Macaca mulatta: one gene and its partners. The protein of the gene in region 2 purifies or fractionates together with the protein of the main gene of each other region. This does not show direct contact. Links are inferred from orthologs where the notes say so. Each region holds a gene or a part of one and is shown on either strand. Other genes may lie near its edges.

The links.
Region 1: the proteins of DERL1 (region 2) and SERPINA1 purify together in Homo sapiens (affinity purification with western blotting; 4 studies listed by BioGRID). This does not show direct contact. The link is inferred for Macaca mulatta from reciprocal best matches to the Homo sapiens genes DERL1 and SERPINA1.
Region 3: the proteins of DERL1 (region 2) and TMEM129 purify together in Homo sapiens (affinity purification with western blotting; 3 studies listed by BioGRID). This does not show direct contact. The link is inferred for Macaca mulatta from reciprocal best matches to the Homo sapiens genes DERL1 and TMEM129.

What each region holds. Positions count from the first base shown.
Region 1 is NC_133412.1:167,662,209-167,672,641, reverse strand, and holds the start of SERPINA1 (alpha-1-antitrypsin), read left to right. Parts: upstream 1-3,905; 5' UTR 3,906-4,096; intron 4,097-5,538; exon of another isoform or gene 5,539-5,986; intron 5,987-10,380; exon of another isoform or gene 10,381-10,433.
Region 2 is NC_133413.1:133,433,991-133,443,411, reverse strand, and holds the end of DERL1 (derlin-1), read left to right. Parts: intron 1-655; coding exon 656-766; intron 767-4,406; coding exon 4,407-4,545; 3' UTR 4,546-6,644; downstream 6,645-9,421. UniProt on the Homo sapiens protein: Functional component of endoplasmic reticulum-associated degradation (ERAD) for misfolded lumenal proteins. Forms homotetramers which encircle a large channel traversing the endoplasmic reticulum (ER) membrane.
Region 3 is NC_133410.1:1,833,183-1,843,883, reverse strand, and holds the start of TMEM129 (E3 ubiquitin-protein ligase TM129), read left to right. Parts: upstream 1-5,170; 5' UTR 5,171-5,468; coding exon 5,469-5,673; intron 5,674-7,988; coding exon 7,989-8,448; intron 8,449-8,926; coding exon 8,927-9,086; intron 9,087-9,166; coding exon 9,167-9,415; 3' UTR 9,416-10,701. Other genes in the region: TACC3 (transforming acidic coiled-coil-containing protein 3), read right to left, coding at 2,570-2,712, 2,857-3,018.

The DNA of each region.
Region 1 (10,433 bases), on a different chromosome or scaffold from region 2:
CACACTTTCACCCTGGCAAGACACCTTAGCCATCGGATGAAAGAAACGCTCCATTTCCATGATCCTTGATTAACTCAGTTCATGAAGCAACTTTCCATCACCTATTTTGTGCTCAGTACAAAGCCACAGAGATGGAAAAAACACAATCCCTGCCCTCAGGTCACTTGCAGCCTGGTGATGCCACCAAGCTTTGGGGTCGTGAGTCTCACAGCCTGGTTAGAATCTGCCCTCCACCACTTGCCAGCTCTGTGAGCTGGGGCTAGGTGCTCGACGTCCATGAACCTCAGTTTCCTCATCTATAAAATGAGATAACAGAAATATCGACTTCATAGGCTCGATGTGAGGACGAGGAGTTAATCTGTAACAAATGCTTGGAAGGGCTCTGGCATGAGCCATGTGCTCACTGTTAGTTATATGCTAATGTTACAAAGGGATGTGTATGAAGTGTTGTGGAAGCAGCAAGCAGGGAGAAAGAGAGGAAGGGAGAGAGGGAGGTACCTGGTTCAGCATTAGGGTAACACTCTGCCTTGGTTTCCTCATCTGTTTTAAAGAGATAACAGTGGTGCCCACTGCACAGGATAGAGTGAGGTGATGCACATGAAGTGTTTAAGACAGGGCCTGGCAGAGGCCACGTGTGCAAGGACTCTTAGCCACGATTCAGGGGGTGGCATACCACCGTTGGAGTATTTGGAGATTTATATTATAAAATGGAAGCAAGAGACCTGTTAAAATCAAGCAAATAGAAATGCTCAAAGTCAACATGAAGGAGTCAACAGGGTAAATCGAACCATTTGAAGCCAAGGCCAGAGTTGGGCAAATTAAGAGCCCTATTGCTCTCTGTTATCTAAGCCACCCACGTAGGGCATGTATTTCTGAATAATAAGCCTTAAAGTCCTGCTGGGTCTCCCACAGTCCCCATGCAAGAGTGAGTCCTGCACACTCAGCCCTGCCTGTGGTTCCCGGAAGGCCTCTGTCACTGCCTGTTCACTTCCTCTCCCAGGGAAGATACCCCAGTGCCGTGTCTCGGGGCAAGAGAAAATGAAGACAGACCTGGAACATGAACATGGTGGCCTTGTCAGAAAGCAAGTGTGTGTTGCTGAAACATCAGCAGAGATTGTCAAAGGGATAAAGAGATAACTTAAAAGGGTTCCTACTGACCAAAATGAGACAAGTTGGCCATCTAAAATCAAATCATAATTATAGTTCAATAGGACACATTTCGTCTCTTAAATCTTCCAATCCATAATGACCATCATGGCCCATAACCTCAAAAGAGTAAAGTTAAAATAAAGTTCAGAAAAGGTTAGTTGCAATAAAACATTAGTTTTATTAATTTTAACAAGAAGGGGATGAAGCTATAGATGCATTTTTTTTCCTTCTTTTAACTATGTTGCCCCTTACAAGGTACAGCTTTGCCTTATTTTTCTCTGTCTAAGTAAGGATAAAGAGTAAAGGCCGGGCATGGTGGCTCACACCTGTAATTCCAGCGCTTTGGGAGGCCGAGGCAGGAGGATCACTTGAGGCCAGGAGTTTGAGACCAGCGTGGCCAACATGATGAAATCTCACCACTACTAAAAATATAAAAATTAGTTGGAAATGGTAACGCATACCTGTAATGCCAGCTACTCTGGAGGCTGAGGCACAAGAATCACTTGCAATTCCGGAATTCAGGAGGTGGAGTTTGCAGTAAGCCAAGATTGCGCCACTGTAACTCCAGCCTGGGTGACTGAGTGAGACTCTGTCTCAAAAAAAGAAGAAGAAAAACAAGAAGTTGTGAGTAGGCCAAATAGTTCCAGAAAAAGCAGAAATCCACCACCCCCCCGACACACAGGAAGTGGCTCAGGAGGTGACACAGAGAAGGAAAGTGTGTCTGCTGGGGTTTTGCAAGTTGGTTAATTTGAAAGATCCCTCAAGGAGGTAAACAAATGGTGCAAACTTCATTCATTCATCTCCTGGAAGATAAACTTCGAACACCCAACTAACCCCACCAATTAAATGAGTTAAAGGAAGACAGACACAAGTGTCAATTATGCTAACAGAGCTCTGTGTTAAATACCCCACCAGCATCGCCTCATTTAAGCCTCACAACTATGTGGGAAAGAGACTTTTATCCCCATTTTACAGATAAGGAAACCAATTCTCAGAGAACTGAGGCCCTCCCCCAGATCCAAGTCCGCTTAGCTCCAGTCACCCCACGTCCTCTGCATGTCACAGGTGCTCAGAAAGATGCAGATGCACCTTCAGGAAGCCAAAATGAGCAGAGCCCCTAAAGAGCGGATTGACGGCCTCTTTCTGGAAAAAATGGAAGTTTGAATCTGAGGAGGTATCCCTCAACAACAGGTGCTGCTCACCAAGTCTGGGGCCAAACGCAGCAGCTGTTCTCCCACTTAGACCCCTGAGACCTGTCTATAAGGTTTTTCAGAGCGAGGACACATCCCCAAAGGTTGTGGCTTCTGGTGGTTAGCATTGACTTGGGGCCCATCCCATGCCAGAGGCTGCCCGAAGTGCTTAAATGTTATTACCTCATTTGATCTTCACAATCCTAACGGAAGTGACTCTTCTAAGAGTCTCCCTATCTCACAGATGAGGGAACCGAGGCACAGAGAGGTTAAGTGGCTTGTCTAAGAGCTCACAGAAAGAGCGGTGGAGCTAAGGCTTGACCCCAGATGTTAGATCCTGAGCCCATGCTTTAACCAGTGACCTGCACTGCCTCCCAAAGAAGGAAGCTGGTGCCTGGGAGGGAGGGTGCAGAGCGAGGGTGTGCATGGTGCATGTGTGTGTTTGTGGGGTGGCCAGCACTCTTCGGGGCACTTTGCCAATGAGTTCAGCTCCCCTGAAGTCCACTGTTGCTCTCCTGACCAGTCACTCAGTCTGGATTTACTTGGCCCAAGGCCACTGGCACCAGCCTGGCCAACATTGTGGCCAGGCTTACCCCCTTACCCACTTCCTTGCTGCAGACCCCAAATCTTGACTCCTACATCCCTATCCAGCCTATACCACGAGGCTCCCATCTCCGGGCAGGGCCCTGTGATGGGGCAGGGCCTCCCCAGATGCCCCTTGTTCATTACCAGCTCACAGGATCTTCCCATGACGCATTTCCTCTGAGGGGATCAGCCCAGATGCTGCAATAGACAATTCTGGAAGTAACCGAGTGGACAAGACTTTCCCCATCGTGTCCTGGGGTTCCTGGGGTCACAGTGTCCTTGTGAATGGCCACTGAGTGCTCCCACCTCCCCCTACCGCCCGGGGTTTTGTCCTGGTGCATTTTCCCAGATCATCCCAGCCCTTCCTCCCAGGATGGATGTCCAGAGCAGGGCAAGGGCTGAGCCTAGAGCCCTGGAACCAAAAGAACAGGACCCCAAATTCTGAGCCCCTTACTTGCCCCACCTGCTCCCACCCATGCTTTCTTCATTCCTCCTCCAAATGCCCCAGCTCCCCACTGCAATCCCTTCTGCACCCAGCCAGGTCCTATGACACACACCTCCCCAGTGCACACAGACCTGCCCAGCCGCAGGGCTGCCCACTGGGCATGTCATAGGTGGCTCAGTCCTCTTCCCTCTGCAACTGGCCCCAGAAACCTGCCAGATGTTGGTGCCAGGTCTGTGCCAGAAGGGCAAGGCCTGTCATTTCTAGTAATCCTCTGGGCAGTGTGACTGCACCTTTTACGGCAGCTCAAAGGGAGAGGGTGACTCGTCCTGGGTCACAGAGCTGACAGGGCGGGTAGAACAGGTGATATGCAGGGCTTTCTGAGTTTATGAGGGCCCAGTCTTGTGTCTGCCTGGCAATGGGCAAGGCCCCTTCCTGCCCAAGCTCCCCGCCCCTCCCCAACCTATTGCCTCCGCCACCCGCCACCCGAGGCCAACTTCCTGGGTGGGCAGGAACTGGGCCCTGTGCCCAGGGCGTGCACTGCCTCCACGCAGCAACCCTCAGAGTACTGAGCTGAGCAAAGGAGGAGGAGGGGATCGGCACTCTGAGGAAGGCCTAGCCACTGCTGCTGCCAGGAATTCCAGGTAGGAGGGGCGGCAACCTTCTGCCAGCCCCCAGGCCACTCTCCTGTGCCTGCCAGAGGAGACGGAGCTTGAGGAGAGCAGGAAAGGTGGAACAATGCTGCTGCTGCTCACTCTGTTCCACAGATGGGAGGGACAGTGGGGCTTGGAGTGGGGGTCATGGCACAGATGGGAAAATGAAGGCTCAGAGAGGGGAAGAAATGCCCAGGAGGTACCGAGGGCAGGCGACCTCAACCACAGCCCAGCACTGGAGCTGTGAGTAGACGTAGAGTAGCAGAATATCCATTCAGCCAGCTCAGGGGAAGGACAGGGGCCCTGAAGCCAAGGCATGGAGCTGGCAGGGAAGAGAGCTCAGAGAGAAGGGGAGGGGAGTCTGAGCTCAGTTTCCCACTGCCTGAAAAGAGGGTGGTACCTACTCCCCTCACAGGGTAACTGAATGAGACTGCCTGGAGGAAAGCTCTTCAAATGTGGCCCACCCCACCCCAGTGACCCCTGACATGGGGGAGGAAGGACAGCATCAGAAGGGACTTTCCGGGCACACCCAGCACCCAGCTCTGAGCTGTCCTTGAACTGTTGCATTTTAATCCTCACAGCAGCTCAACAAGGTACATACCGTCACCGTCCCCATTTTACAGATGGGGAAATTGAGGCTCAGAGCAGTTAAACAACTCACCTGAGGCCTCACAGCCAGTAAGTGGGTTCCCTGGTCTGAATATGTGTGCTGGAGGATCCTGTGGGTCACTCACCTGGTAGAGCCCCAAGGTGGAGGCATAAGTGGGACTGGTGAATGACAGAAGGGGCAAAAAACACACTCATCCATTAATTCTGGAAGTATCCACGGCACGTACGCCAGCTCCCAAGCAAGTTTGCACATTGCACAAAGGGTGATGCAATCTGATTTAGGCTTTTAAAGGGATTGCAATCAAGTGGGGCCCTACTGGCCTCAACCCTGTACCACCCCTCCCTTCCATCCCCAGTAGTCCCCAAAGACCTCCATCAACCCCAGGATGGGGGCCGTATTCCCAAAGAAAATCCAAGCTGTATACGCATCACACTGATTTTCCAGGAGCAGAAACAGAAACAGGCCTGAGGCTGGTCAGAATTGAACCCCCTCCTGCTCTGAGCAGCCTGCGGGGCAGGCTAAGCAGAGGGCTGTGCAGACCCACATAAAGAGTCTACTGTGTGCCAGGCACTTCACCCAAGGCACTTCACAAGCATGCTTGGGAATGAGACTTCCAACTCTCTAGGATGCAGGTGAAACACTTCCTGGTTCAAACAGGTGAAGCGGCCTGCCTGAGACAGCATCACGCTTCTTTACAGATTTGCTCTCCCACCTCTACCCTGTCTCATGGTCCCCCATGCCGGCCTGACGCTTGTGTCTGCCTCAGTCATGCTCCATTTTTCCATCCGGACAATCAAGAGGGTTTTTGTGTCTAAGGCTGACTGGGTAACTTCGGATGAGCGGCCTCTCTGCTCTGAGCCTCAGTTTCCTCATCTGTCAAATGGGCTCTAACCCACTCTGATCTCCCAGGGCGGCATCAGTCTTCAGCATCAGGCATTTCGGGGTGAATTAGTAAATGGTAGATCTTGCTACCAGTGGAACAGCCGCTAAGGATTCTGCAGTGAGAGCAGAGGGCCAGCAAAGTGGTACTCTCCCAGCGACTGGCTGACTCACGCCACCCCCTCCACCTTGGACGCAGGACACTGGTTTCTGAGCCAGGTACAATGACTCCTTTTGGTACGTGCAGTGGAGGCTGTATGCTGCTCAGGCAGAGCGTCCGGACAGCGTGGGCGGGCGACTCAGCGCCCAGCCTGTGAACTTAGTCCCTGTTTGCTCCTCCGGTAACTGGGGTGATCTTGGTTAATATTCACCAGCAGCCTCCCCCGTTGCCCCTCTGCACCCACTGCTTAAATACGGACAAGGACAGGGCTCTGTCTCCTCAGCCTCAGGCACCACCACTGACCTGGGACGGTGAATCGTAAGTATGCCTTTCACTGCGAGAGGTTCTGGAGAGGCTTCTGAGTCCCCCACGGCCCAGGCAGGCAGCAGGTCTGGGGCAGGAGGGGGGTTGTGGAGCGGGTATCCGCCCGCTGAGGTGCCGGGCAGATGGAGGGGCTGCAGCTGGGCTCCTATTGTCGTAATAACAGCAGCCATGAGGGTTGTGTCCTGCTTCCCAGTCCTGCCCGGTCCCCACTCAGTACCTACTGGTGGATACACTGGCTTTTGTAAGCAGAAGTGCACGAGGGTGTCTAGCTCCGCGGTCCTGGCACCCCAAGATACAGCAACAGCAAGGAAGCGCAGCCATTTCTTTCTGTTTGTGCAGCTCCTGTGTCTGTCAGGGGGTTCCTATCTGTTGTCTCCTGTAAGCCTCACCACCTCTCCTACTACTTGGACACGCATCTTTTTCCCCTTCTATGGATGAGGAGGTTAAGGTTCAGGGAGGGGTGAGGAGGAACGCCGGCTCACATTCTCCATCCCCTCCAGATACGGCCAGGAACAGACCTGTGCCAGGTCTCAGCCTTACATCAAGATGGGTCTCCCCCTGCACTGTGGACCTCTGGGCCCTCCTGTCCCAGTGGAGGACAGGAAGCTGTGAGGGGCACCGTCACCCAGGGTTCAAGCTGGCATTCCTGAATAATCGCTCTGTGCCAGGCCACGGCTAAGCTCTGTGCACGATTAAGCCTCATAACCCTCCAAGGCAGTTACCAGGGTGATTCCCATTTTACAGATGAGGAAGTTGGGGACCGAGTGGTTAATAACTGGCCCCAAATCACACACCATCCATAATTTGGGCTCAGGCACCTGGCTCCAGGCCCCGAAATCCTGAGCCTGGCCCTAGTGCTCACCGTTTCTCTCAGGTCTCAGGCGCTGGATGGGGAACAGGAAGCCTGGGCTGGACTTGAGGCCTCTCTGATGCTCGGTGACTTCAGACAGTTGCTCAACCTCTCTGTTCTCTTGGGCAAAACATGATAACCTTTGACCTCTGTCCCCTCCCCTCACCCCACCCGACCTTGATCTCTGGAGTGTTGGAAGAATTTAATTTTTCCTGCACTGAGTTTGGAGACAGGGGTCAAAAAGCTGACCAAGGCCAAGCTGGCCAGTTTCCCATAGAACGCCTCTAAAAGACCTGCAGCACTAGCAGCAAGAACTGGTATTCTTGAGAACTTACTGTGCACCAGGCACTTCTTGGTATTTTGTGCATATTTAATTTCACAATAACTCTATGACAAAGTCCACCTTTCTCATCTCCAGGAAACTGAGGTTCAGAGAGGTTAAGTAACGTGTCCAAGGTCACACAGTTAATAGCAAGTTGATCTGGAGCAATCTGGCCTGAGAGCCTCTAATTCTAGCCACAAACTGAGGCTGCCCCTCTTCATTTAGCCAGGCCACCTCTGAAATCTTCTGGTTCAAGACTTCTGGCTCCAGCTTTGTACACAGAGACGATTAAATGTCAGGTTTTGCAGTCACATCTGTTTAATCCCAGACAAAACATCTGGGATTAAATCTCAGTTTTGTAAGCAAGTAGCTCTGTGATTTTTAGTGAGTTATTTAATCCTCTTTGGGCCTCAATTTTTCTGTCTATAAAATAGGGTTAATCATTTGCACCTCATAGGGTAAGCTTTGAGGACAGATTAGATGATACAGTGCCTGTAAATCGCCTGGTGTTAGTAAGTGTGGCAATGATGGTGACACTGAGGTTGATGTTTGCTTAGCATAGGTTAGGCAGCTAGCAGGCAGTAAACAAATACTTGGAGAATTTAATGGAAAATTGGCCAAACTCAGATGCTGTTCACTGCTGAGCAGGAGCCCCCTCCTGCTGAAATGGGTCCTGGGGAGCGCAGCAGCTGGCAGGAAGAAATCTGCCATCTCTCGGGCAGGAGCTCAACCTCTGTGCAGGCACAGGGACGGCTTCCGCACCTGGTGCCCACTCTCGCATTACGTCAGTTATTCCTCATCTCTCTCCAAGGGATTCTTTTCTCCACTGTATAGCTCTGAAGCCAATGCTCACAGAAGTGAAGTCATTTACCCCGGGCCCCCTGCCAGTAAGTGACAGGGCCTGGTCACACTTGGGTTTATTTATTGCCCATTTCAACAGGTCGTTTGACCATAGGCGAGATTCTCTTCCCTGCACCCTGCTGGGTTGCTCTTGGTCCCTTATTTTATGCTCCCGGGTAGAAATGGTGTGAGATTAGGCAGGAAGTGGCTTGCTTCCCTCTCCCTGGCCCTGCAAAGGGTGCTCCCACCTGCCCCAGTTCCAGAAATGTCACCATGAAGTCTTCATTCTTCTGTTTTAAAGCTTGGCCTCAGTGTCCATACACCATGGGGTACTTGACCATCTACTTTCTCCTCTCCAGCCGCCCTCCCAGGCACTAGCTTTTGAGGGTGCAGGGTGCTGCCTCTGATAGAAGGGCCGGGAGAGAGCAGGTTTTGGAGTCCTGATGCTATGAGGAACAGCTTGGGAGGCATAATGAACCCAACACGATGCTTGAGACCAATGTCAGAGCCCAATTCTGCCATTCATCATCTGAGATTTGAGGGCACAGCTGTCTCAGTCCGTGATCTGAGTGCTGGGAAAGCCAAGACTTGTTCCAGCTTTGTCACCAACTTGCTGTATGGCCTCGACAAGGCCCTGACCCTCTCTGGGCTTCAAACTCTTCACTGTGAAAGGAGGAAACCAGAGGAGGTGATGTGACGCCAGGAAAGATGGATGGGTGTGGGGAATTGTGCTCCTCCCAGCTGTCACCCCCTCTCCACCCTCCCTGCACCAGCCTTGCCACCTCCTTCGAGCCCAGCAGCCTCCTGTCTAGGAGGGTGCCTCTTCTCCATCTGTTTTGCTACATCGAACCCAGATGCCATTCTAACCAAGAATCCTGGCTGGGTGCAGTGACACTCACCTGTAACCCCAGCACTTTGGGAGGCCGAGGCAGGCGGATCAAGAGGTCAGGATTTCAAGACCTGCCTGGCCAACATGGTGAAATCTCGTCTCTACTAAAAATACAAAAATTAGCCAGACGTGGTGGCATGTGCCTGTAATCCCAGCTACTTGGGAAACTGAGGCAGGAGAACTGCTTGAACCCGGGAGGCAGAGGTTTCAGTGAGCCAAGATCACACCACTGCACTCTAGCCTGGGGGATAAAGCGAGACTCTGTCTCAAAAAAAAAAAAAAAAAAATCCTATGTTAGCGTACAGAGGTCCCCAGTGAGGTCTTCTCCCAGCCCCACTTTGCACAACTGGGGAGAGTGAGGCCCCAGGACCAGGGGATGCTTACTCAAGGCCAAATGGATAGTGATGGCCCTGCCAGGACTAGAAGCCACAACTTCTGGCCCTAAGGCCACTCAGCGTATTTAGTGTCCCCACCCTGCAGAGGCCCAACTCCCTCCTGCCCTCTGAGCCCTGTAATGATGGGGGAATTTCCATAAACCATGAAGGACTGCACAAAATCCAGCTGGGAAGTGAAAGAGAAACCTAAGGGAGATGGAAATATACAGCACTAATTTTAGCACCGTCTTCAGTTCTAACAACACTAGCTAGTTGAAGAAAAATACAAACATGTATTATGTAGTGTGTGGTCCGTTCCATTTGGATTACTTAGAGGCAAGAGGGCCAGGAGAAAGGTGGTAGAGAGAAACCAGCTTTAGGCTTCATTTTGTTGCTTTACTGGAAAGAAACTTTTAACAGTCCAGGGGGGTCAATGAATCTCAATATTTGTTATTTCCAACTTTTTTCTCCAGTGTTTCATTTCCCAAATTCAAGGACACCTTTTTCTTTGTATTTTGTTAAGATGATGATTTTACTTTTGTGACTAGTAGTTAACTATGTGGCTGCCAGGCATATTCTCCTCAGCTAGGACCTCAGTTTTCCCATCTGTGTAGACAGCAGGTTCTACTTAGGGGGCTGCAGATTGATGGTCCGAAGTCTGGGCATATCTGGAGTAGAAGGAGCACTGTGGGGCATGGCAGGCTCTGCGTTGCTGTGGATGACACTGACTTTGACCATTGCTCAGCAGAGCCTGCTCTCGCCGGTTCAGCCACAGGCCCCACCACTCCCTATTGTCTGAGCCCCAGCTATGAAACATGTATTCCTCACTGGACTATCACCTGAAGGCTTTGAATTTGCAACACCTGTCAACCCCTCCCTCAAAAGGGTTGCCCTCTCAGATCCTTTTGATGTAAGGTTTGGTGTCTAGACTTATTTCACTAAATTCTTCCAACAGCCTCACTTTATGTATGAGGCAAAATGAGGACCAGGGAGATAAATGACGTGTCCTGGCTCATACACCTGGAAAGTGACAGAGTCAGATTAGATCCCAGGTCTATCTGAAGCTAAAAGAGATGCTTTTTCACTTCCCACCACCCCCATCTCCTTTAAAGCAGCACAAAGCCTTGCTTCACAGGAGAGATGAGCTTCTCTAAAGTCCCTGACAG
Region 2 (9,421 bases):
GCTAGGAATCATGTTGCAGGTGAAGACAAACAGGATATGTAATAGTAACAGTAGATCTATACACTCTTGAGGTGACCTGTGTGTAAGCCATGGGAAAACTGAAGAAGGTCAGCGTTGATTTCAGGGTGCAAGTCAGCTTTCCTAAGTGATCTCTGTGGTGTCTTACACTCAAGGGTACAAGAGGCAAGAGAGAAGTGCTTAATAGTTCCAGGAAATGGGGAACAGGCATTTATTGTTCCTCTTTTCCTTACTCCCACGCTTCTCTCTTGGTAGCCTTCATGTTTGCCCACATTTTATCAATACAGTATTCATGACTGAAAGCATTCAGAAGCATGCTTTACAACTTCCCCAACTCTTGAGGCAGGAAGTAGCAAAAACAATATTTTGAGGATGGGCTGGTGCTTGAAAGAGATGTCGGAGGGGCTGCTGGCCTTGAAGAGTGGCGGGCCTCATTGGTTCAGCAGGACTGATTTCCCGTCTCCCTCAGAATGCATTTGCCACTCGGACTACAAAAGGGCTCATTGTCAGCTCTCACAGACTCCCAGGGACTAAATGGTCTGCCTTGAAGGCTCTCTTCTTTATGATATTAGTTAAAACTTGGTTCGTTTCACTATATTGCTTGAATGTCTTTAAACTCATTTGGCTCTCTTTGCAGGGTAATCAATGAGCTTATTGGAAATCTGGTTGGACATCTTTATTTTTTCCTAATGTTCAGATACCCAATGGACTTGGGAGGAAGAAATTTTCTATCGACACCTCAGTTTTTGTAAGTGTTTTTGTCCTGTCTCATCTAACATTTTAGTGCCTGTGTTCTTAATGCATCCTAATAAGAGCTCCATGAGGAGTATGATTTAGCCCCATGCCCCATCTGATGGAGTAACCTAAGGCAACAAATGACTTATCCTCGTCACATAGTCACCGGAAGTCAGGCATTAAAGCCTTGGCTCCATTGCCTTCTTGTTACTCTTTTAGCCAGGGACCACTGACAGCTAGGTTCCAGCATTACAGGAGGCTTCTCAGCCCACCGAGCCTGCCGAGGGACCCGATGCAGCTCCAGAGTACGAAGCAGTGGGCTGGGGAATGGGCAGTCACAGGATAGTGGGGTGTCTTTTCTTGGCCCATCAGTTTTTTACCCATGATTTTGCCCAAGGAAGGGTAAGTTAGCTTGTTAGTCAGCAATTTTAAGCATTTTTATATTAAATACTATGGATTAGCCATTTTACAGGACTGTTCAGAGTTAAAATGAGAGCCTTGAGGTTTGTATGGTCCCAACCCCCTGGGAGTTTGTGCTCTTTGTCTGCTTTTAGGGTTTACTGAAGTAGGATGCTAAGGGCAACAGCTTTGATTTTTGAGACAAACTTGGGTTTGAATCTCAGTCCCCTCAGATAGCAGTTTTTATATTGGGAAAGTCACTTAATCAAGCCTCCAGGTTTCAGTCTGCAAGTCTGTAAGTTGTGGGAGAAACCACTGTCTCACAAGACTGCATGAGGTAAGATACACCGTTGGGAAGCACATAGTGGGTTCTCCATAAGTAAAGCTAGCTGCCATATTCCTGAAGGTGGGGGTAGGAGAGCAGGATTTTGATGAGCTGAGAGGAGATGCGCACACACATAGAAGCATGTAATAGTCGTGTGACCATTCTGTCAGTGAGGCAAAAAGGCTGTTGAAGAAGGGACCAGTTAAATCACCATCTGGGTGTCACAGCCTGCCTGACAATCACGCCTAATCTCATATCAGGGATATGCAGTAATAGCTTGCATTTAAAAGCTTTAAAAAAACAAACAAACCAAACCCTTTCACATCTTGCTAATTTTAATGTTTTGCAGTTCTGTCATTCTTCTAAGGGATCAATGAGGGCAGTAAAACTTGAGCAGGCCTCCTCTTTCTCCCCCTCCTTTTATAGGGTAGGGGTATGTTTTTCAAAGACTTTTCAAATTGTGAACTGTAATTTACAGAGATATACCATATTGGTGGTTGTGGTGTGTGTGTTTTTCTTTAAGAGAATAAAAGGAAACTTGTTTCTCTTCTGAGCCTTGAATTGCCTTCAGGCTAAAAAAACAAATGACCAATCTGGTTTCTAATTATCAAAGGACATAATAACAGCAGGTTTGGCTTTCTGATCTAGGTTTATCAAGTAGGATGGCAGATGCATCAATTAAAAAAAGCTTGGTGCTTTTGGGGGGCAGCCAACAGTTACTTTACTTTAAATGGCCATATTCTAACTTAACGGCTTGTAGCTACTTCTCAGTTGTGGGCAACACAGGATACAAGATTCTAGTGGCAAAATCAGCAGAGCCCTGGAGCCTGCCTTCCACTTGAACTTTCTCTGTTGGTGGAAGTCCTTCTGCTAAATTTTGCATAAAGATCAGATGACAAAATATAGCTCCTTGCAAAAGCAATAACTGCTTTGAAATTACCATAAATTTTTGTTGATTATGTATAATTGGGTATCTTTTTATACTAATTATTTGCATTTAATTTCACTATCTACTTAATCAGTGGAGATGGCTTCCATATTGTCTTAGAGTGAGTAGCAAAGCAAGACAGCCCTAGCATTGCCTTCTGTAAGTGTTCTATTTTATCATGTACTTTGGAGGAATATTATTGTACCAGAAGGCATGGATGTTGAGAAACCAGCACTTGGAAAATACATTTTGATTTAATGGTAAAGCTGTATTTGTTTAAAATGGAGGAGGTGAGTATAAGAAGGTATAACTACCTTTCTAAATGGAATGCTGATACATTCGTATCACCATTTTCCATTCCATTTAGAGTACTTATATCTTCCCTGTACACATTAAATTTTGTGTTTAAAAGGGGTTGTTGGCCGGGCGTGGTTGCTCACGCCGGTAATCCCAGCATTTTGGGAGGCCAACAGGGGCGGATCACGAGGTCAGGAGATCGAGACCATCCTGGCCAACATGGTGAAACGCTGGCTCTACTAAAAATACAAAAATTAGCTGGGCATGGTGGTGGGCGCCCGTAATCCTAGCTACTCGGGAGGCTGAGGCAGGAGAATCGCTTGAACCCAGGACGGGGAGGTTGCAGTGAGCTGAGATCGTGCTACTGACTCCAGCCTGGTGACAGAGTGAGACTCCGTCTCAAAATAAATAAATAAATAAATAAATAAATAAATAAATAAATAAATAAATAAAAAAGCGGGTTGTTTTCTGTTTTGGGAAGAGGCATGAAGGTATTGAGTATGATGTAAACAGACTCCAGTCACTGACTGCTGTTCCCAGGCAGGAGGCATGTAGTATAACAAGTAGTGCAGGGTGCAGGCTCTGGAGCCAGGCTCACTGGGTTGGAATCCTGTCACTTTTGAAGCGCTTCACTCAGTGTTGGCTCAATTTTCTTGTTTATAAAACAGGAGTAATAGTAATGCCTACCTCATGGGGTTGTTGTGAAGATCAAATGAATTGATAAGCAGGCAGCACCTGGTGTAAGGTAATGCTCGCTGAGTAAGTTCACAGAATAGCTGCTCTTGTATGAGGTCAAGTATAAAGCCTGTCCTCTTCAGGGTTTCTGCTGTGGACAAGTCACTTGTCATGACTTACTCTTGCTGCCAGGAAGGGTTTAAGCAGAGGTATCAGATCATCCTCTCTGCCTTCAAGCAAAATTTTAAACATTAGGATCTGCTAAGTGGAATAGGTTTAAACACATTCTCAGTTCAGTAATAAAAGAGTCAAGGATGGGAAATAGTTGGAAAATACTACTGAGAGTGTAGGCTTGAGTTTAAATTCTCTTAGCTGTTCTGTGAACTCTTAGTTTATTAATTTTAAGGTGGGAAATCATGTAACCTTCTGGGGCCCCAGCTCTCCCACCATCCGTGAGAAGGGAAGAATGTACCTGGAAGGCAGATTCTGAATACATTTTAAAACATACCCATACTTCCAACATAGAAAGCCTTCTTCCCCCGTCTCCTTTGATGGGCTCAGCTGAGAGCCTTTTAGAAATGCTGTGCAAGGCTCAAACACGCAGGCTGTGGATTTGGCCTTTGAAAGTGAATGTATTTTGTATCCTTTGATCCAGTTTGAGCCGTATTTAGATATACCAAGATGCTATCAGTCATTCTTTGGTTGCTGGGCTTGTGGGTGTAATATTTTTGTTTCCATACTGTTCTGCATGGATTACTTTTATAAGCGGAGAAAAAAACGTTCAGAGTGTGAATTTAGCTGAAATCTGAATACATTTAAGAAACATGAAAAACGAATGCCTTCTGTGGTCAGGTCATGGAGCTGAGTACTGAAAACACAAAGTTAAATAAGACATTGTCCCTCATCGCCTTCAACATGACAAGTGCCATGGGAAGAGCAGGAGAGGGAGGTGTTCTCGGAGGTCAGATAACTGTGTGGAAGTGACTTTGTTCTCTTCTCTCCCTTTGTGTCCCCGTCTTTCTGCACCAGGTACCGCTGGCTGCCCAGTAGGAGAGGAGGAGTATCAGGATTTGGTGTGCCCCCTGCTAGCATGAGGCGAGCTGCTGATCAGAACGGCGGAGGCGGGAGACACAACTGGGGCCAGGGCTTTCGACTTGGAGACCAGTGAAGGGGCGGCCTCAGGCAGCCGCTCCTCTCAAGCCACATTTTCTCCCAGTGCTGGGTGCGCTTAACAACTGCGTTCTAGCTAACACTGTTGGACCTGACCCACACTGAATGTAGTCTTTCAGTACGAGACAAAGTTTTTTAAATCCTGAAGACAAATACAAGTGTTCCACAAGTTTCCCGATTCTCATTCAAGTCCTTACTGCTGTGAAGAACAAATACCAACTGTGCAAATTGCAAAACTGACTACATTTTTTGGTGTCTTCTCTTCTCCCCTTTCCGTCGGAATAATGGGTTTTAGCGGGTCCTCGTCTGCTGGCATTGAGCTGGGGAGCTGGGGCTGGGTCACCAAACGCTTCTCAAAAGGACCCTTATCTCTTTCTTGCACACATGCCTCCCTCCCACTTTTCCCAGCCCCCACATGTGCAACTAGAAGAGGTTGCCCATAAAATTGTTCTGCCCTTGACAGGCTCTCTTATTTATTGACTTTTGCCAAGGCTTGATCACAACAATCATATTCACGCAATCTTCCCCTTTTGGTGGCAGAACTGTAGCAATAGGGGGAGAAGACTGAAGCAGCGGATGAAGCGCTTTCTCAGCTTTTGGAATTGCTTCGACCTGACATCCGTTGTAACCATTTGCCACCTCTTCAGATGTTTTCATGAAAAAGTACCACTGAGTCAGTGAGGGCCACAGATGATATTAATGAGATATGAGGGTTGTTGCTGGGTGTTTTTTTCCTGAGTTAAGTGATCAAGACTAGTGGAGTTGTGTCTAACGCAGGGGTTAGGTTTCAACCATGGGGGATGCAACCCCTTTGCGTTTCTTACGTAAGGCATACTGGCTTTGTGTACCCAGAGTAGTTGGGTTGCTTTGTGTTAGGAGGATCCAGGTCATGTCGGCTACAGGGAGATGCTCTCTTTGAGAGGCTCCTGGGCATTGATTCCATTTCATTCTCATTCTGGATATGTGTTCGTTGAGTAAAGGAGGAGAGACCCTCATACGCTATTTAAATGTCATTTTTTTGCCTATCCCCCATTTTTTGGTCATGTTTCAGTTAATTGTGAAGAAGGTGCAGCTCCTCTCTGCACGGAGATCATTTTTTAAAGTTAATATAAGCACAGCTAAGGGAATAACATGATTTAAGGTTGAAATGGCTTTAGAATCATTTGGGTTTGAGGGTCTGTTATTTTGAGTCATGAATGTACAAGCTCTGTGAATCAACCAGCTTAAATACCCACAACTTTTTTTTCGTAGGTGGGCTTTTCCTATCAGAGCTTGGCTCATAACCAAATAAAGTTTTTTGAAGGCCGTGGCTTTTCACACAGTTATTTTATTTTTTGACGTTATCTGAAAGCAGACTGTTAGGAGCAGTATTGAGTGGCCGTCATACTTTGAGGCAACTAAAAAGGCTTCAAACGTTTTGATCAGTTTCTTTTCAGGAAACATTGTGCTCTAACAGTATGCCTATTCTTTCCCCTGCTCTTAAACAGTGTGATGTGTGTTAATCCTAGGAAATGAGAGTTGGCAAACAGCTTCTCATTTTGAATAGAGTTTGTGTGTACCTCTCCATATTTAATTTATATGATAAAATAGGTGGGGAGAGTTTGACCCTTAACTGTCATATGTTTTGTTGTTGATCTGTGGCCACAATAAAGTTTACTTGTAAAATTTTAGAGGCCATTATTCCAATTATGTTGCATGTACACTCATTGTACAGGCGTGCAGACTCACTGTATGTATAAGAATATTCTGACGGTGGGTGACCCGGAGTCTCCGGTGTACCATCTTACCAGTCAGCTGCCTGCGAGCAGTCAGTTTTTTCCTAAAGGTTTACAAGTATTTAGAACTCTTCAGTTCAGGGCAAAATGTTCATGAAGTTATTCCTCTTAAACATGGTCAGGAAGCTGATGACATTATTGATTTTGTCTGGATTATCTTTCTGGAATAATAACAAGCTATTTGAGTTTTGACTTGGCAAGGCAAAACATGACAGTGGATTCTCTTTACAAATGGAAAAAAAAATCCTTATTTTGTATAAAGGACTTCCCTTTTTGTAAACTAATTCTTTTTATTGGTAAAAATTGTAAATTAAAATGTGCAACTTGAAGGTTGTCTGTGTTAAGTTTCCATGTCCGTGCTCTGCTGTCTGTTAGATATCACATAATTTGTGTAACCAGTCATCTCTTGAAGAGCATTTAGGAAGTACCCAATATTTTTTGCTGGATTAATTTCTGGACGCAGAATTCCTGGGTTTTCATTTTAATGAAGGAGGATGCTTCCTAACTTTGAGTGAGGAGTCATACCTGCTTGTAGCATGCTTTATGGCATTTTTATAGCTTCTACTTATGAACCTGAGCCCTGGAACTTTATAAAATTAGATTAATCCCATTTCCTCATGAGGCACACACAGACTACCCCCCCCCCTTTTTTTTTTCTCGAAGGTGAACTCCCAGTCTGTATCTTGGGCCTTCGGCAGGCCAACTTCACTCATCACAAGGTGAGGTGACAGGAATCAGGCTGTATGTATGTCCCTTTTCTATTACTGGGCAAATACTGAAGCAATAGAAAAAGATCCTGCTTATTGAGAAGGACACGTTGCCAGTATCACTGTGTTCTAAGCTACCTTTTGAATGACACTGATCTAATAATAGGCAGTGTTGCAGTTGCCAACATCTTCGTTTGTTGCCAACTCTGTTTGTGAGGTCCCTGCCCCTCTTACACTTTCAGCAGTAACTTAACACTCTGAATAACTAACCTTTGGAAGAAGTTACTCCTTCCTGGACTTTATACTGTTTGTATCTTAGAAGGCTGGGCTGAGCAAATGGGTTTATTGGCAGTTCACTTGTTCGCCTTCCAGAGTGACTGGTGATCAAAATCGGCCAGAAATACCATGTCCCGTGTTTACTTCTTTCTTCAGTCCTTCATACCCTTCCCTCCCTCCATACTTTCCCTCCGGGTCCCTCCCTCCCCCTCCCTCCCTGCCTCTCTCCCTCCCTCCCTCTCTCTCCTTTCTTTCTTTTTTGAGATGGGATCTCACTCTGTCACCCAGCTGGGAGTCCAGTGGCATGATCTCAGCTCGCTGTAACCTCTGCCTCCCAGGTTCAAATGATCCTCCCACCTCAGCCTGCTGAGTAGCTGGGACCACAGCTGTGTGCCACCACACTCGGCTAATTTTTTGTATTTTTGGTCGATACGGAGTTTCACTATGTTGCTCAGGCTGGTCTCAAACTCCTGAGCTCAGGCAAGCCACCTGCCTCGGCCTCCCAAAGTGCTGGGATTATAGGCCTGAGCCATGGTGCCCAGCCTTTCCCATGATTTATATGTGTGGTTTAAGCCTAGGCTCCTTCCTATATGGTCCCCTTATCTCACATCAGCTCTGCTTGTTCCAGTAGGAACCCCATGTTCAGGGGCACACCTGGGCACTGAGCAGTAATGTGCCAGGTACTTTGTGAAAAAGCCTCCAGCTTACGGTTTTTAAAATCTGGCTATACACAAGCATTAAACTTGAGATTTTTTAAAAAATGCAGTTATCTTGGCTCATTCCCATTCTACGTATTTTTGAGGTTCCTAGTGATTCTGATGTTCACTTGGATTTGGGAACTTGTGTTTAAACAAACTTGTGAAATAGTATTATCCCCGTTTTCCAGATAAGGAAACGTAAGCTTCAAATCTCTTGATTAAAATCAGGCAGCAACCAGGTGTGGTGGCTCACGTCTGTAATCCCAGCTGTTTGGGAGGCCGAGGTGGGTGGACCTCCTGAGGTTGGGAGTTTGAGACCAGCCTGACCAACATGGAGAAACCCCGTATCTACTAAAAATACAAAAATTAGCTGTGCGTGGTGGCATTTACCTGTAATCCCAGCTACTCGGGAGGCTGAGGCAGGGGAATGACTTGAACCCGAGAGGTGGAGGTTGCGGTGAGCTGAGATTGTGCCATTGCACTCCAGTCTGGGCAACAAGAGCAAAACTCCGTATCAAAACAAAAACAAAAACAAAAAACAACAACAAAACAAATAAGCTAGAAGGTGCCAAAGACAGGATATGAACCCAACTCTGAGTAGAGACCTCTGTTGCGGCTTTTCAGTGAAGGAAGCCAAAGCAGATGCAAATAGACAATGTCTCTGCCTTCACGACGTGTCCTTTCTACTGAGGCAGTCAGCTGGGCCCATTGTAGGGACTCATATTTGTTGAATAAGCAAACAAGTCATTATAATACAATTTCACCAAACTACCAGAGTAAAAGGAAGTAAATTTCTTGGATGAGAGGCTAGGTCTTGAAAGATTGATGGAGAGTTCTGGTCAAGATGGGGGAAGTCACTCATTCTAGCTGGATTTAGAAACAGCAGCAGCAAGAGCAGGAACTTTGGGGAAGACAGAACTGTGTGCCTGGACCTGTAGAATACAGGCAGGGAGTGGCAGGGAAAGGGGCTAGAAAGATAGATGGGGGCTTATATCAGGAAAACTTGTGTGTGATTGCTTGGACTTCAATCTGTGGGCAGTGGGGAACGTTGAAAAGCCTTCATGTTTGGTCTTTAAAAAGTAGCTGGCAGGCCAGGTGCGGTGGCTCATGCCTGTAATCCCAGCACTTTGGGAGGCCGAGGTGGGCAGATCACAAGGTCAGGAGATCGAGACCAACCTGGCTAACACGGTGAAACTCCATCTCTACTAAAAATACAAAAAAAAAAAAAAAAAAAAAAAAAAAATTAGCTGGGCGTGGTGGCGGGCACCTGTAGTCCCAGCTACTTGGGAGGCTGAGGCAGGAGGATGGCGTGAACCCAGGAGGTGGAGCTTGCAGTGAGCCGAGATAGCGCCACTGCACTCCAGCCTGGGCGACAGAGTGAAACTCTGTCTCCAAAAAAAAAGTAGCTGGCAGCCAGG
Region 3 (10,701 bases), on a different chromosome or scaffold from region 2:
TCGGACTGTTCACAACTCCTCTGCTGCCCAGCTGCCACCTCAGGGTGGCGTTGCCCTCCCAGGCGGCTACTCAGCTGTCCTTGGAATGATACGTGGGCAGCTGCACACAGCGGCTGCTCTTGGTCTCATCCCACTGACGTGGGAGCACCACAGCAACCACCAGCTGGGCCAAAGCAGAATTCCAGAAGGGAGATGACAGCCACGAGCCCAAGCCACGAGCTCAGAGTCACTCTGGCTGCAGCCCCACAGGGCCACCCTCCCAAGCCCCTCCTAGCTCCTTTACACCCTCTGCCCTATGGAGGCTGCTGGGTGGCCCTGGAGGCATAGGGCAGAGGCAAGGGCATCTGTGGCTCTGGGACGGATCACACCCATGGCAGCTGGGAGACGACTTCTCTGCTCCTGGTCCTCCCCTCCTGCTTGGGGTCGTTGTGAACCAATGTCTGATTCATTCTCACTTTGTTTGACCAAATTTCAAAAGGGGCAAAATCCAACTTGAAAAGTAGCAAGCAGATATAGCAAGAACTGCAAATTCAGGCTGGAGGGGTGGAGGGGAGACAGGCCCAGGGCCCAGAGAAGGACATAGGAAATGCTGCCTGCACTTACTGGTGACATTTTATCTCAGGGAGTGAGAAGCATTAGTGGTATTGTGTTCCTTATGCTCTTCTTCGCACACCTAAAATCTGTTTAAAAGTTTTGGGCCAGTCGGGCGTGGTGGCTCATGCCTGTAATCCCAGCACTTTAGAAGGCCGAGGCGGGCAGACCACTTGAGGTCGGGAGTTTGAGACCAGCCTGACCAACATGCAGAAACCCTGTCTCTACTAAAAATACAAAAAATTAGCTGGGCGTGGTGGTGCATGCCTGTAATCCCAGTTACTCGGGAGGCTGAGGCAGGAGAATCGTTTGAACCCGGGAGATGGAGGTTGTGGTGAGCTGAGATCGCGCCATTGCACTCCAGCCTGGGCAACAAGAAAAATTCCGTCTTTAAAAAAAAAAAAAAAAAAAATTGGCCGGGCATGGTGGCTCACAACTGTAGTCCCAGCTTCTAAGGAAGCCAAGGTGGGAGGACTGCTTGAGCCCAGGAGGTGAAAGTTGCGGTGAGCTGTGATGGCACCATGGCACTCCACCCCGGGTGACAAAGCGAGACCCTGTCTCAAAACAGCAACAACAGTTACATCAGCAAAAACCAGCAGAAAATCATGCCTCTGGGGTCCCTTCCCACCCTGGATGCAGATGAGGTGTTCCTAGGTGCCCAGACCGATTAGTTCAGCCACAGAGTAAAGAGCTGCTTCCAGGGTCCTCCCTTTCCAGGCAAAGACAGACACCGCCTTGCCATCCGCTTGCAGTTAAGCATCAGGTCGGACAGCAGACTGCCAATGCCAAGCCTAACCCAACACCCAGCGCCTGGCAGAGCCCTCCAACCATGCACACTCTGAGGGGTGGATCACACAACATGGTTTCTTTGCCTACAAGTCCATCTGCTCTTTCCAAGTCCTAATAGGGTGGGCGGAATTCAAGATAAATGAAACTATGGATTGCCTTCCTGGAGATGGGGCCAAGACATTTCATCAAATTAGAGGAGCAAAGATCGAAGCCAATTGGTTGGCAAAAGCCCAGCAAAAATGTGAAGTATGGGCTGGGCGCGATGGCTTATGCCTGTAATCCCAGCACTTTGGGAGGCTGAGGCAGGTGGACCACCTGAGGTCAGGAGTTCGAGACCAGCCTGGCCAACATGAAGAAACCTCATCTCTGCTAAAAATACAAAAATTAGTCAGGTGTTGGTGGGCACCTGTAATCCCAGCTACTGGGGAGGTTGGGGTGGGAGAATCGCTTGGACATGGGAGGCGGAGGTTGCAGTGAGCAGAGATCGTGTCACTGCACTCCAGCCTGGGCAACAAGAGCAAAACTCCATCTCTGGGGTGGGGGGGAGTGAAGTATTAAGTTACCCAAGTATCTGATGGTCGACTTTTCTGTTAGTGAACTGGTGGGGGGGAGTGAAGTATTAAGTTATCCAAGTATCTGATGGTCGACTTTTCTGTTAGTGAACTGGTGGGGGGGAGTGAAGTATTAAGTTATCCAAGTATCTGATGGTCGACTTTTCTGTTAGTGAACTGGCCACATGCTGCATACACTCAGTGCAGATTTCAGGAGAAATCCAGCCAGGCCGGCCGGGCGCGGTGGCTCACGCCTGTAATCCCAGCACTTTGGGAGGCTGAGGCGGGTGGATCGCAAGGTCAGGCGATCGAGACCATCCTGGCTAACACGGTGAAACCCCGTCTCTACTAAAAAATACAAAAAAATTAGCCGGGCGTGGTGGCGGGTGCCTGTAGTCCCAGCTACTCGGGGAGCCTGAGGCAGGAGAATGGCATGAACCTGGGGTGGGTAGAGTTTACAGTAAGTGGACATAGTGCCACTGCACTCCAGCCTGGGCAACAGAGCAAGACTCCATCTCAAAAAAAAAAAAAAAAAAAAATTCCAGCCAAGGCCTGACAGAACAGGACAGCACGTTTCTGCAAGAGCCATCGGACAGAGAGGGTGAAGCTCCAGCATGTCCAGTAGCATGAACACTTACTTCTCTTTCTGAGTCCACACCGGGTGACAGTTTTCCAGTCCAAGGGTATCACCCTGAGCCAAAGGAGCCTCAAGTTTGCTGGCCATGCTAGGACTTAGAATCCTGTGCGTCTGTGGATCCCGCAGAGGTGTCTGAAAAGTCACCTGTTGTGGAGTGAGGAGGAGAGCACCCATTCATTAGTTCAAGCTGTTACAGCCACACCAGCAGTGTCCTGCAGCTCAGAGGTCACCAGGAAAGCAGGTCCTAGGGCAACCTGGCTAGCCACACACTGTAGAGGTCACACTTACCTTCATAGCTTTGGCCACGTTCTTGGGTGGCACATTTTCTTTCTGTGACACACGAAGAACAGACGATCTTCCGGTAACTTCTGGTGAGGAAAACAGGAAGTCGCAATTTTCTGTACTTTTTTCACTGCTGACATTTTTGTCGTTTAAGACCTGCAGACTCATTCTGGAAAAGCAGAACATGTTTGTGTCAGTGTGAGGGCAACACAACCATGTTGTCCAGACACAGACATGACAGCTGCCGCAGGGAGCACGACCCCTTCCGGCACAGGTGTGCTCATTGTTCTGGAGCTCACACCTCCCACACATGTCCTCTGCCAAGTGGGGCAGAGAAAGCCTCCGATTGAGTCCCCATCCTGCTTCAGAGACTCACTCTCCAGCCTGGCACCGGGAGCCATGGGCAGCACCGCTGCCTCCTGGGACCAAGAGCTAAAGGGCCTTCAGGCTAAGATGGTGAGAAAGAAAAACCAAGACCGCATAATCTCTACTGTTGTATTACCACGTCAGGCAGAAGTCAGGAGACAGGAAAGCCCTGGCCTATAAGAAACCCAGAAGAGCCAGAGGAAGCCGCGGTCTCCCCACCGGCCTCCGCGTGTGGCGTGAGGCAGGACCGGGCAGCAGAGGGCAGAAAAGCAGGACAGCGGCTCTGGTCTGCTTTCTCCCACCGGGCTAGGCAGCGGGACAAGACCAGGCTGGGGTGAAGGCCCAGAGGAGGAGCTGGGAGACAGTAGGCGAACAAGGGACGCCCAGAGCTGAGCAGCAGGTGCCAAGGAGCTTCCATATCAGGGCCTCCAGTCAGTCCCAGGTTCCAGGGCCGCCCAGGTCCTCACACCAGTCACCCACACACTTGCCACCCTTTCTGTCTACAGCGTTCCCAGTCTAGGGAATGACGTAGGCAGAAAGGCTGCCAGAGAGAACCGAGTGTCGACCTGGGCAGGAACCCCACGGGCACCTGTTGGTGGTGGGGGACCTGGGAAGGCTTTGATTTGAAAAAGAGCAAAGTTGGGGAGGGTCCTGGAGAAGAGAGAGGGGCAGCCCGGGCAGGTCGGTGCTGCAGCTTGAGAAGCCCACTGTGGTGCTGTGTGTGGGTAGGGAAGTAAGGGCAGGAGGGAAGCAGGGAAACCACACGCTTCTGCAGCCCGAGGAGTAGAGGCCAGACCAGACCCGGGCCTGGCCACTGGCATATATGGGACTTACAGACGACGCTTAGGTTTTTGGCCTGAATAACTGGGTACAGGGCAGGGGAAGGGCAGCTGGATCACTGGGGGACACGCAAGCCTGGAACTCAGGGAGAAAGTGACTCGGAGGAAGCCTTCCGGCGGCCTGGAGGAGTGCGGGAGAGCAGCAGACCCAGCCTTGGTCAGGAGGGGCCTTTACCGACTATGGAGCCCCGGGAGGGGCTCTGGGCAGGGAAGGGACCGGCCCCAGGCCGGTGCTTTGATGCTACTCTGGTGCACAAGTGGGATGCGGCGCGGGGGAAGATGGAGCGGCGCAGCAGGTGCGGGGAAGCGGTCGGGGCCCAGGTGTCCGCCACAGGTGGCCCAGATGGAGTTGGCACCAGGACGGAGGCCGGAAGGGACCAAAGAACCACAAGAGGGTCTGCGAGCTGGGAGCCAACAAAGAACCAGGGTGGGCGGCCGAGAGGCAGGAGAGGGTCGAAGAGAACAAAGCACTTCAGGGCGCCCGCTCCGCCGTCGGGCTCGGCCCAGCCCTAGCCGCCCCCGGCCACCGCCCAGGGGATCCAGCCCGGTGGTCGGTCTAGGGCCGGGTCCCATGACAGGGCGCGGGACGGGCCCCGGCGGCCCGGGAAGAAGCCGTGGGGGACGCTTCCCGGGGAAAGCTGCGGCCAGGGCGGGAAGGCGAGGGCCGAGGGCGGGGCGGGACGGCCTCGCGCCCCCGGGACCCCAGCCTCCCCGTGCCGTGTAGACGCTCGTCTACCTGCCTGCCCGCCCGTTGCCGGGCTCTGAGCCCGCGCCGCCGCCGCCAGGAAGGAGGGGTCTGGATATGCGTCTGCTCCGCGCCGGGGGCGAGCCTAGTTGCTGCCGCTGCCGCGCTTCCAGCCCTTGATGGCCGCCGGCGCGCCCGAGTTTCAAACGCCGACGGTTGCCTTCGCGCGGCCAATCAGCACGCGGCCGGGGGCGGGACCGTAGGAGGGTGGGGGTCCAATGGGAAGCTGTGTCTCGCCGGCCCCGCCCCCCCGTGCGCCGACGGTTCCGTTTCCGGAGTGGAGGGCCTGCCGGGGGTGTCTGAAGCTGAGACCGCCGGCTCGCCGTCGCCGCACGAATTTCGGGTTCTGCAGCTGACGCTACTGGGCGGGGCTTCGTGGCCAGGGACTGAGAGCCGCTGGCTCAGGCCTAAGTTTCCCCAGCTGTGCATTGAGACCAGGTGCAGTGCCGCCTCCAGGGCGGGCCCTGAAGAGAGGCCGCACCCTCACGGGGACTGCATCTCCCAGAGCGCCCCGCGGGCGGCCGGGCGGCGGGACTCCATCTCCTAGAGTGCCCCGCGGGCGGCCGGGTGGCGGCTGCCGCAACCGACACGTCGGGGTCTGGGCGCTGCGGCCTCTTCCCCGCGCCGGGGGCGGGGTCCTCGCCGGACAGCTTCCCGGCGGCGGCGCGATGGACAGCCCCGAGGTGACCTTCACTCTCGCCTATCTGGTGTTCGCCGTGTGCTTTGTGTTCACGCCTAACGAGTTCCACGCGGCGGGGCTCACGGTGCAGAACCTGCTGTCGGGCTGGCTGGGCAGCGAGGACGCCGCCTTCGTGCCCTTCCACTTGCGCCGCACGGCCGCCACGCTGTTGTGCCACTCGCTGCTGCCGCTCGGTGAGGCTGCTCCGGCCGGCCAGCCGCGTCCTCTCCTGCGCAGGGCTTGCTGGGAGGTCAGGAGGAGGCCTCCGCCAGCTCGCCGAGGCCCCGAAAGCGCCTGGGCGCAGCTGGGGAGAGGCGCCGGTCCTCATCCAGAGGGACCGCGGCGTGGGCTGAGCGCGCTTAGGGGCGCCGCCGGCGCTGGCTTGCAGGTGACGGGAACCCAAGTACAGAACCTTGGGCAGGGGATGCCCCGGCTCACCATGTCCTGAACCGTCACATGCCTGGGGGTTCCAAGGCCAAGCAGCCTTTGCTTGTCGTGGTTGCGGGCAGTGGCCAGGAGAAGGCAACTGTTGATTGAGTCCAACAGAAGGGGTCGGAGGGACTGTGTGGAGGGTGGCATTGCTCTAGGCCTTGGAAGGTGGGTGTGGGGAGAACGGGCGGATTTGGAGGCAGTTCCAGTTTGGGGGCGCCACAGAGGCAGAGGCTGAGGAGGGCCTCTGTGCAGGTGGGACCCTCAGAGTTGTCCGGGGGGTGTTGGGCTGGGCCCCAGGTGGTAACTGGGGCTCTGGAAGGTCCCCGTCTCAGCCAGTTGGATGACAGACAGGTGGGAGATGGGGGGTGCAGTGGTTGGAAAGGGATTTCAAGGGGGGACCTCTGGAGGACACAGGGGCAGACGCAGCTCTGGGAGGACAAATGGCCAGTGGCTGGCCAGGTCTGCCGCTCTGGGGAAACAAGAGGGGTGACCCTCCACATCCCGGTGTGAGCATGCAGCTGCCCGGGCCCGGGGGAGCTGGAGGCAGGTGTGGGGTGGAGACGCCCAGGCCTGCCTCAGGCTGGGGGCCCACTTGGGAAATGGATGGGGCTGAGTGGGGCTAGGGCCCTGACCAGGCCGCTTTCGAGGCCTACTGGGTGGGTTTCTGTATCCCTTCCAACTGCACCCTCCCCAGACGCCTGTGAGGGACCACAAGTGAATCATGGAGGCCACACCTGAAGCAGACAGCACAGCTGACCTCACAGCTGGATGTCAAGCTCTTTTTATTTTTAACTTAGTTTGAAAGTTTTCAAGCTTTATTAGGTATTAGTTACCTATTTATTTATTTATTTTTTTTGAGACGGAGTCTCGCTCTGTCGCCCGGGCTGGAGTGCAGTGACCGGATCTCAGCTCACTGCAAGCTCTGCCTCCCGGGTTTACACCATTCTCCTGCCTCAGCCTCCCGAGTAGCTGGGACTACAGGCCCCCGCCCCCGCGCCCGGCTAGTTTTTTGTATTTTTTAGTAGAGACGGGGTTTCACTCTGTTAGTCAGGATGGTCTCGATCTCCTGACCTTGTGATCCTCCCGTCTCGGCCTCCCAAAGTGCTGGAATTACAGGCTTGAGCCACAGCGTCCGGCCTATTTATTTATTTTTTTGAGACGGAGTCTTACTCGGTCGCCCTGGCTGGAGTGCAGTGGCACGATCTTGGCTCACTGCAACTTCATCTCCTGGGTTCACACCATTCTCCTGCCTCAGCCTCCCGAGTAGTTGGGACTACAGGCGCCGCCACCAGGCCCGGCTAATTTTTTTGTATTTTTTAGTAGAGACGGGGTTTCACCGTGTTAGCCAGGATGGTGTCAATCTCCTGACCTTGTGATCCGCCCGCCTGGGCCTCCCAAAGTTCTGGGATTACAGGCGTGAGCCACCCAGCCCCAGTAACCTATTGTTATATGTCACATTACCTTGAAATGCAGTGACTGGGCCAACTCCAAATGTGGACTATTACTTTTTGCCAACTGGAAGCTGCTAGTGCAACTCCTCACCGTCTCCATTGCTTATTTGGACCTTCAAATTGTCCCCGATCTGGCCAGCAGGGCCCTGAAGCTGGCCTTGTGTCCTCTGGACGTGTCCCATCATTCTTTGACACTTGCTTCCTTTCTCACACACAACTTCTCAGCTCTGGGATGGGCCACGTTTGACCAGCCTTCTCAGAGCTGGTGAGATTGAGAGACTGAGATCCTGTCCAAGCAGCTGCCCTGGGCAGGCCAGGGGTCAGCTCTGCCTGAGGGGACACTTCATTGTGTTTATTTTTCTCTTTCTAGGCTTTTGTAGTTTTTTCAATATTTACATAATGTGTGAAACTAAAGCAGCAAATTAAAAACCTTTTCCCCTAATATATCCTGCCATTGCCACAGGCAGGGACAGAGTGGGCCGGCTAGGGAAGTGCAGAGTGGGTAAAACCCACTTACCCTGGGAGCTGACCCTGGAACCCGGGCAGAGGGCCGGGCCCAGGGCTGTGTGGGGGTGGACAGCGGCCTGGCACCCACTTTCTCCTGAGGCTCACCCTGTCCTTTGCAGGCTACTATGTGGGCGTGTGCCTTGCGGCTTCAGAAAAGCGGTTCCATTCCCCCGCCTGGCGGCTCTTCCTGCTGCTGGCCGTGACCCTCCCCGCCGTCGCCTGCATCCTGATCTACTACTGGTCCCGTGACCAGTGGGCCCGCCACCCACTGGCACGCACCCTGGCACTCTATGCCCTCCCACAGTCCGGCTGGCAGGCTGTTGCCTCCTCCATCAACACTGAGTTCCGGCGGATTGACAAGTTTGCCACCGGCGCACCAGGTGCCCGTGTGATTGTGACAGACGTGTGGGTGATGAAGGTGACCACCTACCGAGTGCATGTGGCCCAGCAGCAGGACGTGCACCTGACTGTGACGGAGTCTCGGCAGCACGAGCTCTCGCCAGACTCGAACCTGCCCGTGCAGCTCCTCACCATCCGTGTGGCCAGCGCCAACCCTGCCGTGCAGGCCTTTGACATCCGGTAAGAGTGTGGTGCCTGCGGGGGTGCAGAGGGCACGCGGCAGGCCAGAGCCAGGCTCTGGCGCCATGACCCCTGGGAGGTGCTAGGCGTAGCCGGTGTGGACTCCAGCACTCATGGGCTTGTGTGACACCAGGCAAGGTGTCCACGAGACACCCGTCACTGAGCCCTCCCGCATAGCCCTCCTTCGGGCCCCCCTGCACTCTTGGCCTCCCCTTCCACTCTCCCTGGAGCCGTCTCCCCCAGATTCTTGGGGAGCACTCAGGACAGTGCAGCCCTCAGGCTGGACAGCTGCCTTGCTCCTAGGTCTGCCCCATGCCCAGGTTGGGCCGTCTGGCACTGGGTCCCTGGGCTCTGGCCTTAGGGCCATCTCTCCTGGTTGGTCCTGGTGCGACAGCTGCCCTGTCACTCCTTGGGGTATGGCCTCCATCTCCCCCTCCCTTTGCCCTGCAGAGGGCCCCAGCAGCTCTCCTCCCTGCAGGCTGAACTCCACTGAGTACGGGGAGCTCTGCGAGAAACTCCAGGCACCCATCCGCAGGGCAGCCCACGTGGTCATCCACCAGAGCCTGGGCGACCTGTTCCTGGAGACATTTGCCTCCCTGGTAGAGGTCAACCCGGCCTACTCAGTGCCCAGCAGCCAGGTGGGGGCCTGGGCCAGGTGGATGGGTGGGTGCCCACAGGTGTCTGCCTGGGCTCCTGGTGACGCTCCACCTGCCCGCAGGAGCTGGAGGCCTGCATAGGCTGCATGCAGACGCGTGCCAGTGTGAAGCTAGTGAAGACCTGTCAGGAGGCAGCCGCAGGCGAGTGCCAGCAGTGTTACTGCCGCCCCATGTGGTGCCTCACCTGCATGGGCAAGTGGTTCGCCAGCCGCCAGGACCCCCTGCGCCCTGACACCTGGCTGGCCAGCCGCGTGCCCTGCCCCACCTGCCGCGCACGCTTCTGCATCCTGGATGTGTGCACTGTGCGCTGAGTGGGCTGGGGCCTTGAGGTGACTCTGTGTCCCCCCAGCCACGGGGCGGGGAAGGGGGTGGCTGGGTCTCCTGGCTGGTAAAGGGCTCTACTTAAAGCACATGATCTGGAGCAACTCACCTCTGCCCTGGGTCTGCAGAAGGCTGAGGACTTTTGGTTAAAAGCAATCCTCATGAAAACACCCCACCCTGCTTGGCAGCCAGGGTACAAGTCCTGGGTACCTCCTCTTCGCCTCCCTTCTGCCCCCTTCCTGCTGCTGGGGGCAGATCCTGCACACACAGAACACAGCGTTTGCCCCCGAGCCATTCCCTGGAGACCCTGGGTCTACCCCAGGTGGTCGTCACCTGGGCCATTTGCCTTACTTCCCTGGAGCACACCCCCCTCAGTTACATGCCAGACCCAGATCTGCATTCTCCTGCCCTGTCCTGGAGCTGGCCCCTGGCTGCCTGGAGAACCCTGGGTAGGTCCCAAGGGTGGGATAGAGAAGAGGGCACCGCTGTGGTGTGGGAGCAGTCCTGGGGCTTCCTGGTGGCTGTGGCCAGTTGAGGGCCATTCCTGGGTGGGGTAGCAATGGAAGGACAGGTCAGAGTGCCCTCATTTGTGGGGCTGCCCCTCAGGGGTTCTCATCCTGTCCTTGGTGCCTTCTGCTGCCCAACAAGTCCAGGGAAGGCCGAGGCCTCAGACTCCTGGGTAGGGGTGGGGGTTGAGGACCAAAGTGCCATAGTGACATCCAGAACACAAGCCCACCAGGGTGCAGCACAGGCTGCCCACTCCCCCAGGGTATCCCAGGCTCAGAAGGGGGTACACGCCCCATGTGGTCAAGGCTCGGGTGAGTGTCTTGCCCAATTCCTGTTGGTTCAAGGGGAGGGGAGACGTTGGCCAGGCCCCAGGCACAGCCCTGACACAGCCGTGGCTACTGGAGAGGCCTCACACCTGCGGCCCCAAAGCCCCTGGGCTTGGCTGTTTCACACAGAGGTGATAGACTCAGGTGGCCTGACCCTTGGGATTTGGGAGGCTTCCTGGAACACTCAGCAGGTGAAGGCAGCAAGGGCTGTGGCTGGGAGCCAGACCTAGCCTTGATCCTGAGTTTTTTGTTTATTGGTTTTTTTTTTTTTTTTTTTTTTTGACACGGAGTCTCGCTGTGTCGCCCAGGCTGGGGTGCAGTGGCCGGATCTCAGCTCACTGCAAGCTCCGCCTCCCGGGTTTGCGCCATTCTCCTGCCTCAGCCTCCTGAGTAGCTGGGACTACAGGCGCCCGCCACCTCGCCCGGCTAGTTTTTTGTATTTT